Linked DNA regions of Cricetulus griseus. The protein of the gene in region 2 interacts with the protein of the main gene of each other region in a pairwise test. Links are inferred from orthologs where the notes say so. Each region holds a gene or a part of one and is shown on either strand. Other genes may lie near its edges. The genes, in order: Smad7, Pias4 and Htt.

Region 1 (2,798 bases), on a different chromosome or scaffold from region 2:
TGGGGACTCAAGAGCAAGTGTATATGTATGTCTTTTGATTTCAGGAGGGAAAAGAACCTGGTCACCACCGCCAACTGTCTGCCATTTTGTTTTGTAGATTCCCAACTTCTTCTGGAACCTGGGGATCGGTCACACTGGTGCGTGGTGGCATACTGGGAGGAGAAGACGAGAGTGGGGAGGCTCTACTGTGTCCAAGAGCCCTCCCTGGATATCTTCTATGATCTACCTCAGGGGAATGGCTTTTGCCTCGGACAGCTCAATTCGGACAACAAGAGTCAGCTGGTACAGAAAGTACGGAGTAAGATTGGCTGTGGCATCCAGCTGACGAGGGAAGTGGATGGCGTGTGGGTGTACAACCGTAGCAGTTACCCCATCTTCATCAAGTCCGCCACACTGGACAACCCGGACTCCAGGACGCTGTTGGTGCATAAGGTGTTCCCTGGTTTCTCCATCAAGGCTTTCGACTATGAGAAAGCATACAGCCTGCAGCGGCCCAATGACCATGAGTTCATGCAGCAGCCATGGACGGGCTTCACCGTGCAGATTAGCTTCGTGAAGGGCTGGGGCCAGTGCTACACCCGCCAGTTCATCAGCAGCTGCCCGTGCTGGCTGGAGGTCATCTTCAACAGCCGGTAGTTGTGTGGGGAGAAGAGGACAGGACGGAGCGTGAGCCGAGCAGGCCACCATTCAAACTACTTGCTGCTAACCTTTCCCTCCCGAGTGCTTGCTTTTCATGCAAACTCTTTGGTCGGTTTCGTTGTTACCATTGTTGGTGTTGTTTTTTGTTTTTGTTTTATTTTTGTTTTTCCTTCTCGTTGTCCTTGTTTGTGTTTTGTCTTGTTCTTTGAGAAATAGCTTGTGATGAATTAGTTTGTTTTGGTTTTTTTTATTTTTTTATTTTTTTGAGGTGGTGGGTGTGGTCGACAGGACACCCCGACATGAAAATGGGAAGCAAAAGTCAGCACTGCCAAATATGGTATATGAAAGTGGGTACTGCCTTCCCTTCGGATCGGCATTGTCAGGAGTGGATGTTCGGTCGTGTAGGGTTGTGCATGAACGGCAGATGGGGAGATGCTTTTTGTGTTCCTTATGAATGTCCCCAGCTGAGAGTCTGCAGTTTCAAGCTGTTTGTCTCTCGAGCCCTTTGGACATGCTCAGTGGGGCAGAGGCAGTACCTGGGCAGACTGGCAGCAGGTGTTCCAGCAGCTGCCAAACTTTGCCCCAGCCTGCCGAAGCCCCTGCCCTGCCTCCCCCCTTTTAGGACACGGGCCTATCCACAGGCTTCTGAGAAGCCAGCCTGCTAGAGGCTGAACCAGAACCAATTGTTTTCATCCCTGTCTTACTGCCTCCTGTCACCCCGCTGCCATTGTCATGTCTGTCTTTTTTGGCCATCTGCTCCTGGATCTCTTTCTTGAGATGGGCTTCCTAAGGGCTGCAGGGACAGCCCAGTCACAGTATTGCTAACCCAGGACCCTCGGGCCCTTCAGCCGGTCCCCCTGCTGTGGTTTTTCATCAGGTTTCTCCCAGATGTGGAGAGTCAGCTCAGCACCCCATCCCCAGCCTGTATGTTGAGCTCTATAGACCAGGGAGGGGCATCCCTGGGAGGGAACTGCTCAGTGGCCCCCTTCCCAACAAGAAGGGTGTGGCCTGTCATAGCGAAGGTACCATCCTAGGCTGACTCCCAGCTCTTCTCTCAACTCATACACTCGTATGATACTTTGACACTGTTCTTAGCTCAATGAGCATGTTTAGACTTTAACATAAGCTATTTTTCTAACTACAAAGGTTTAAATGAACAAGAGAAGCCTTCTCATTGGAAATTTAGCATTGTAGTGCTTTGAGAGAGAAAGGACTCCTTAAAAAAAGCTGAGATTTATTAAAGAAAAATGTATTTTATGTTATATATAAATATATTATTACTTGTAAATATAAAGACGTTTTATAAGCATCATTATTTATGTATTGTGCAATGTGTATAAACAAAAATAAAGAAAAGATGCACTTTGCTTTAATATAAATGCAAATAACATGCCAAATTAAAAAAGATAAACACAAGATTGGTGTTCTTTTCTATGGGTGTTATCACCTGGCTGAATGTTTTTCTAAAGGAGTTTATGTTCCATTAAACAATTTTTAAAATGTATACTTCATCCCATGTTGTTTAGCTGCTTTTTCTTTTCCTTGGAGGGAGGCTGGGAAGTTTACCAGTGGAGACAACGGCGAATGGGCCTGGGATCTGGAGACCACCTGCCTTATGGGTACCCTTTTGTTTGGTGTGGCTGCAGGTTTCCTCATGGTGCATTGGGAAATGACGGGAGGGAGTCCTCTGCTGAGTGTTTGGAAGTTGGTGGGTTGAGGAGAAAGGGTGTGTCACTGGGAAGATGGGGTTGGTGGCAGAAGAGCAGGTACATCCTCAAGAACCAGGTTCCCTTGGCTCATGCTAATTCTACACTGAGCTAGAGCATCTTTCTCAGTAGAAGGGACTTTGCCAAAATGAATTCCAAGACATTTCCTGGGGATTGGAGCCCCAGGAAGTGATAGAGAATAACTGCCCCACAGTGATCAGAGGGATGAAGTCCCCACCTCCTTCCCTCTCAAGTGATGACTGAATCCAAGCTTCACTTAAGGCTGTCTGCTAGGATCTTCATGATTGATAGGTTCTCAGCCCTGTGGTCCAACTCATCCCTGGGCTGTTGCTGTGAGATGCCTCGTAAGTACTTTACCTGCATAAGCTGAGCTGAGATTTTTGTCCATATTTTAGATTATATTCAACATATATGTATGTATACCACATGCAT
Region 2 (3,651 bases):
TGGGTACTAGGTGCAGGGTGGCCAGGGGGGAGGGACATGTGGAATGATGGGGGCTGGGCGCAGGGTGCTTACCTTGCCATAGTTGCCCCAGGTGACAGTGATGCGGTTGGTGGCGGAGGAAAGGTACATGAGATGGGTGAGGTTGATGGGTCTGCAGGGCCTCTTGGGTTCCACACCAGGCTTGTTGGAAGGGTAGTAGCCCGGCACTGAGCAGTAGCTGTGGTTAACCTTCACAGCAATGTTGGGTGGGTACTGATCCTCCTGTGGGCAGCTGGTGTCAGAGTAACAGATCCTGGGGAGACAGTGAGACACAGGACTGTGGGGGCACACAGGGACATGGGGACATGGGGGGGGGGCTATGAAGACAAGCAGCAGAAGAAAGAGAAAGCCCCAACAAAGATGACAGGTGGTGGAGGTACAGGGTGGATGGCATGGGGTTGTGTGTGCAGAGCAATGGCCTGCCACAGGAGAGGCAGGGCGGGGCGCTGTTCGCCTACCTCAGCACCACCTGCACGGCTTTCACTCCAGGCTGCAGCTCTCTGTGGGCGGGGCACAAGGCAGCAGTCAGCAGGCAGTGCAGACCACCCAGAGAGCCCTCCCCAGGATCACCAATGGACACAGGAGAGCAGTGCTCCTGACCCACTCCAGGAAGAATCTGTCCATCGAAAGGGTAGGAAGGAGGCGTGCAGAGAGAGGGTCTGGCCACACCCCAGCCTGACCTCTGTCCTGACAAATGGCGCAGAGATGGTCAGGACTGTAAGGCCAGGACATCCAAAGGGTCAGAGCTTCACTAAGCACCCTCACTGGTTCACCCTTACCCATCTTGCCCATGGGACCCTGGTGACATCTGCAGGTGCATGTAGCTGGGGAGCTCCTGGCTAGCATGGAGTGGGTGGGTGAGGGAAAGCCATGCTCACGAGGCTGTGGGGCCTCACACTGTCCTGCCTGGTCCAGATGATATGTGGTCCCAGCAAAGGTGGGCACACGATAGTGGGAGTTGTTCGTGGTGGACACACCTGGAGTTGCGGATCATTTCCACCTGCCTCGGTGTCAGCGCGAAGATGCATGGGCTCTCCTGTAGCTTCTCCGTGCTCTGTGGGACTGAACACGCATGGGTCAGGCCGCCTGCTGCATGTCACAGTCACAGGGCAAGAGGCCAGCCCTCTGCCTAGGATTCAGGGGATACACACTGGCCCCACACCTTCCACTCTGGGTCCCTTTGGAGCTGGGTGTTCCAAAGGCTAAAAGGTAGCTGCCTGTATCCTCAGGCCATCACGTCATCTGCAGTCTCGTCAGTCAGCATGGCTCCACGGCAGACTGCTGGCCCAGTGTGCACGAGGTCCCGTTCCTCCCTCAGCAAAGGGCTCTAGCCCATTTGGACATATGACACAGCCTCCTCTGAGGGAGTGCACACCAGCCACCCTAGCATGTCAGAGACTGAAGCAGAAGGGTCTTGGATTCAAACCCAGCCTCAGGTCCAGACCAGTCTGAGGCAAAAGGGCACAGCTGTGGGGAGTAGGGCTGAGTTCTACCCAGCACTTCAGGACCAACCACTGTCCCTGTCAGATGGTATTCCCTATCTGGATACAGGCACTCCCAGCTGAGGAAGGACCCTGGCAGCCCAGTTCCTACAACACTGTTTACAAGAGGCGCTGATGCTGGGTGAGACTGGCCTGGAACCTTCTGAACCACAGGCTGTGGTACCAGTCACAGTGAGTGTAGGCAGGTTCCGGAGCTGGGAGGTGGAGTAGCTTGGATGAGGGGACAGTCACACCTGTCCAGCCCAGGATCCTGTAGAGAGCCCATGGGTCCTTGGGTGACTGCTGCTGTGTAGCTGCAGGGCCTGAGGGAGGAGCTGGAGCTCAGGGACCCCTGGGCACACTCAGATCTGTCTAGCCTGGAGTAACCACCTGAGGGAGAGTGGGGAGGGACCAGCAGTGCCATGGCAGACACCTGAGCTGGCAGAGGCTAGGCAGGAGGTAAGGGACCCATCTGCCCTCCTGGGAGGCTTCTGTGGTGTGGGGGACAGGCCCCACACTCTAGCAGCCAACTTAGGTTTGTCCCACGCTATGCTGCTCTAATGAACCACAGGGTATTCTCCAAGCCAGTAACTGTGCCATGGCTGTCTGCCCCCTGTCCAACAGCCAGACCCTAGAGCAATACCCATCTGAAATACTGAGTGTAGTCTCTTCAGCAGCACCAATTGGGGATTGAACTCTTCTTAAAACCTCACAAACCAGGCCTACCTTTGTCTTAGGGCCTCTGTACCCTGCCCACCCATTTCTCCCCACTTTATAACTCAGCTGGCCTGGATCCTCCTGAGAACCTGATAAAACTACACCTTTAATCCCAGCACTGGGGAGGCAGAGACAGGAGGATCTCTGTTGAATTCTAGGCCAGCCTGGTCTACAGAGTGAGTGCCAGGAAAGCCAGGACTACACAGAGAAACCCTCTCTGGAAAAAACAAACCAAAACAAAAACAGCAGAACTGGTTGTGAGCTCAAGGCCAGCCTGGGCTACACACACAGCAGCCCTGCGCCCCCTGCCTACCACTTTCACTTTCTCTGGGCCACTGCAGCATGGGCTGTGGACAGCTCCACACCATGGACTGAACAGCACAAGCACAGGTGCTGAGGAACCCACAGCCACCACCCTCAGCATACCTGAGGTGGGGCAGACACCAGGTGATCACGAAGACCCAATAGGGCAGGTAGGAACCAGGACAGGGCACTCAAGGCCATGGAAGACAACAACATCCAGACCCTTCACGTGGCCCCTCTTAGCCTTGTACACTCTAGGACTGGAGGTAGGCATTGGTGACCCAGTAGAGACACAAGGCGACCCAGAACCTGGTACCCCTCAACACCAAAGAAACACTGTGTCAATGTCTTATTCTCAGGCAGCTTCACCAGGGTTATAGTGATTGTTGTTTAACTCAGGCCTAGCTGGTTGCACTAGGAGGGCCAAGGCAAATGGTGGGGGCCAAGCATGCTTCAGGGGAGCTGTCATAGGACAACACAGTGAGCTTGCATATATCACAGTGGCCATAAACTCCAGTTCCCTGCAGCACCCTGACCAGCCATGTAGGCTGCTGAGTTGGGGCAGCATGGAGACCAGCACCAAGCACAGGGTACCACTGAGCTCCACTGTGGGACTGGGTGGGGATGTAGCCTGTGCCACTGGAGTGGGCAGGAATAGAGCAAGGGCTGTCCGCCCACCTTTGCTGCTGGCCTGCTCCAAATCAGTGACCTCAACTGGGTATCAGAGAGCAAGGGTGATGCCAGGTACAGGGACACAGACCTGTCAGCCAAATACTGAGGAGGTCGAAACAGGTAGATCAGAGAGGTTCAAGGCCAGTCTTGGCTACATAACAAATTGGGCCTGCCTGGGCCACCTGAGACTCTGCCTCAAAACATGGCACACACAAAAACATCATGCAGTTTTGGAAGGGAGCTATCGTAGAGATGCCATAAGGGCTGGGCATTAGAGGTGCACCCTTAAGGACAGAGGCAGCGACCAAAAGCCTGTGGGGTCAAAAGCACAGTGTGGAAGACCAAGGTGTGACCCATGTAAGGGCCTGGGGCAGACAGAACCAGACAGGTCTCCCCACAGTCAGCAAGTGCCATGGAGTGGGACCTCTGCAAGGGCTGA
Region 3 (3,751 bases), on a different chromosome or scaffold from region 2:
TAAAATTACATTTGTAACCTAACAACAGTGTGACATCCCATTAACTTCGCCTTGTATTGGTTAGAAGTCAGAAGTCAGCTGCCCATACTTAGACAGTGCTAAGAGGCAGGGCTCATTGGGCCTTCCATGTCTGCCTACTAGCAACTACCAGCTGTTAGAACTTGCCTCATGTGGGAGCTGGCACTGGCTTTATGCAGCGGACAGTGGCATTAGTAACTGGAGGGACATGGAATTCTAAAGACTTTCTCTGCTGTCCTCAGTTTAACAGGGGTTGGCTGCTTATACCTCCCATGGGTAGTGTTGGCTCCTGTGTACTTGGCCATTTTGAGAAGATGGAGGAGTTTCTCATGGCCATGGAATAGGGCTCTTGAGTCTTAGGGGTAGCCTGAAGAGCTTAAATGGGTTCCTAACTAAATGCATCACCTCCAGTCAGATCTCTCTGAAGCCAACACCTTTTGCTGGACAGGCTGAAGGAGCTGGGTGTATCCATACTATTCTAAGCTTCCTGTTTAATTGCTCACCAGTGGGAGATGGAGATTCTGGAGACAAGGACCTCAGCTCTGGTGGCGATGAGGCCCCTTGTAGGTTCTGGCTGATGACCAGAGCAGTGCCATGGTCCAGCACTGTGAAGTTGAAGTGTCCGATCAGAGTTGCACTAACCCCAGCCTCTCTTTGGGCTGCAGGCACTGCTACTTGTTTGGAACCCTTTATCAGCTTCCTCCACAGCACATCGTCTGGTGCCGCCTTTTTTTTTTTTTTTTTTTTTTTTTTTTTTTTTATAGGCTTTCATGTCTGAGCTAACCAGTGCTTCAGGGGTCCACGGATCACAAGGGTTCTTTGGTCCTGCATAAAGGTCACTCTGGTTCCCTTCTCATTTCAGGGAGCCCTTAGCATACTGCATTCGGGACTGTATAGCAGGCCATCTGTCAGCTTGCGGACAATGAGTGCCTCTCTGGGTTTCGGGTTCTGAGCACCACCACCGCCATGGGTGGCTTTCTGCAGGGAAATTTCTTTGCTGCCCTTCCCCTTTCCAACCTCTTAGTCTTCCATGTCTCCCCAAACCCTACTGAGTTGCCAACTCCTCCGCCCGCCTCTTTTTTCTGTCCTGTAACTCCTAATCTAGTGCTCGGCCACTCCCCTCAAACCCACTCTTGGTTCAGCTCCGCCCCTCATCTAGCAACCCGCCCCGCCTACCTCATCACGCTCTCTCCCCGCTCCCTCCAATCAGAGGCTTGGTTTGCCGGAGAGGGGCGGGGTCATATCGTAGGGGCGGAGATTCTTAGCAAGTTGGCAGAGGCCCGGCATGCTTACAACCAGGCATTGGGAAAAATGACGCTTCGGCCTGTCAAATCTGCGGATCCGGCGTGGCCTCTCTTCCGTCGGCATGACGTCACAGGACGCAGGCGCCGCGGGGGTTGCCGGGACGGGCCCAAGATGGCTGGGCGCTTTGGTTCCGCTTCTGCCCGCCGCGCAGATCCCCATTCATTTCCCCGCTGCTAAGTGGCGCCGCTGAGGGCGACTAGGCTCCAAGCCTTCGGGGTCTGTCCCGCCGGGCAGGAGGCCGTCATGGCAACCCTGGAAAAGCTGATGAAGGCTTTCGAGTCGCTCAAGTCGTTTCAGCAGCAGCAGCAGCAACAGCAGCAGCAGCAGCAGCAGCAGCAACAGCAACAGCAGCAGCAGCAGCAGCCGCCACCACCACCACCGCCGCCGCCTCAGCCCCCTCAGCCGCCGCCTCAGGGTCAGGCGCCACCGCTTGCACCGCCCCCACCGCCGCTGCCCGGTCCGGCCGAGGAGCCGCTGCACCGACCGTGAGTCCGGGCGCCGCAGCTCCTGCCCTGGGCCGCTCCCCTGGCCTGCGTGCTGGAGACAGCCAGCGCGATTCCCTGCCCAGAGAGAGGGTCGCCAGTCCTCTTCCTGGCCCGGGTCCTCGCCTTGTGGGGGTCTTTAGCTTTCCTCACTGGAGGCAGAGCCTGGTCAGGCCTGCGGCGGACTCGCCGAGGGGCGTCTCGCCCCCAGTGCTTTCGCCCTTCTTAGCTTGTGAAGTTAGGGAGCGAACTTGTTTCTGTCTTCGGGAGAAACTGGGGCTGTGGCTCACATGACTCCAAGAGAACTTGGAGAGGGCGAGACCTGTCTCCCGGGTCGCCTCCTTAGGTAGGCCTAGATGCTGGGAGCGCAGGACAGCGCGAGTGATGTGCGGATAGTGGATGACATAATGCTTTTAGGAGGCCTCAGCGGGAGTGCTGAGGGTGGGGGAATGTGAACCATCCAAATTGGATATTCTTTTTCCAAGTGACACTTGAAGCAGCCTGTGACTTCAGGCGCTTTATATTCTCCTGGTGTTTCGTTTAGTTCATGTTACAGTGTAGTAACAAGGTTTTAAGCATCACTGGAGAGGTATGTTTCTGTATGCTCCTATTGGCCTGCAGGTAATTGGATGAACTGTGGTTGTCAAGTACATGATGAGTTACTTAGGTGTGATTATTAATAAAAATTATATGTCTCTGTGTCATATATATATATATGTGTGTGTGTGTGTGTGTGTGTGTGTGTGTGTGTGTATGTATGTATGTCGATTGATATTTATTGCCTATATTTTCTGCTGGAAATAAAATGGACATGTTGGTGATGCGCAGTTTACATCAGGGAATGATTTTTATCAGTGTTACAGTCAGACTTGTTTTTAGAACATGGGCCACTCTGTGTGCCAGTGAAAAAAATTCCTATTTAATTCTTTGCTGACATCTTGTCATCCTTCAGAAGCTTGCTGCATGTGACTGGTGAGAATATTTGAAACAGAAGAGAGACCATGAATAACAATAGTCTTAAAAAAGAAAATGATGATCAAGACATTTCCTGGAAGTCCACGATGAGTGTTCAGCCCTGTACTTTCTTGCAGTTCAGGCCTTTCAACTGGACATTTTATTTCTAATGTGGATTTCTATAATTAATAAGGAGAACTTTCAGGAAACAACCTACTGAAGAATCCCATTATTAATCCTCATTTAGGAAAAAAATTGTTTTGTTGCTGGGAATTTAGCTTAAGGCCTCACACATGCTGGGCAAGTGCTTTACCACTGAGCTATATTCCCAGCCTATTTTTAGTAATTTTTCTTGTTCTTGTGCTTCTGATAGGATCCTTTTTGCTGCCCTGGGAATCTAGTTTTTTGTTGTTGTTTTTTTTTAAATGAAGATTTGGGGAAAAATGTTGGCTTATTTGATAGAATAAAATATAGGAATAAATTTTTCTTCTATAAGGTCAAAGAGGGTTTGAGTAGAAAAATCTTTCCCTTTAGATAAGTAATATATTTTGAGACAGTCTCACTGTGTAACTCTGGCTGACCTGGAACTCACAGATATCTATCCTCCTGCCCCTGTCTCTTCAGTGCTGGGATTAAAGGCATGTGCCACCATGCCTGGCTGTATAAGTATTTTCTAATTATTAGATTCTTAACACGACTCTGTCTCTCTGGGTGTTAGGAATTGTGCAAGTTCACATATTCCTCATATCTTCTGTAAGGGAGGGTTGGGGCGGGGTGGGGTAGGGTGATTTCTCTCCAGCTGCTTCAAGCACAAATTCAATCTGTTTTTGCATAAGTAATTCATTAACATGGTCCAGTTCCAAAGTTAGGAAAGGTTAAATAGTAAAACATCTCCCTCCCCATTCTCCTGAGTGCCTAACTCTGTCCGCAGTAGCAAGCACTGTTACTCATTATGTGTCCTTTCAGATAAAATCTGGGCATATGTTAGGACA

What was found.
Region 1: the proteins of Pias4 (region 2) and Smad7 interact in a two-hybrid assay, tested with the Homo sapiens proteins (2 studies listed by BioGRID and IntAct). The link is inferred for Cricetulus griseus from reciprocal best matches to the Homo sapiens genes PIAS4 and SMAD7.
Region 3: the proteins of Pias4 (region 2) and Htt interact in binary tests that used the Homo sapiens proteins (3 or more experiments, as listed by UniProt). The link is inferred for Cricetulus griseus from reciprocal best matches to the Homo sapiens genes PIAS4 and HTT.

What each region holds. Positions count from the first base shown.
Region 1 is NC_048595.1:164,538,714-164,541,511, reverse strand, and holds the end of Smad7 (mothers against decapentaplegic homolog 7), read left to right. Parts: intron 1-97; coding exon 98-636; 3' UTR 637-2,150; downstream 2,151-2,798. UniProt on the Homo sapiens protein: Antagonist of signaling by TGF-beta (transforming growth factor) type 1 receptor superfamily members; has been shown to inhibit TGF-beta (Transforming growth factor) and activin signaling by associating with their receptors thus preventing SMAD2 access.
Region 2 is NC_048598.1:101,936,612-101,940,262, forward strand, and holds part of Pias4 (E3 SUMO-protein ligase PIAS4), read right to left. Parts: intron 1,102-3,651; coding exon 1,017-1,101; intron 540-1,016; coding exon 498-539; intron 293-497; coding exon 73-292; intron 1-72.
Region 3 is NW_023276807.1:103,746,615-103,750,365, forward strand, and holds the start of Htt (huntingtin), read left to right. Parts: upstream 1-1,566; coding exon 1,567-1,808; intron 1,809-3,751.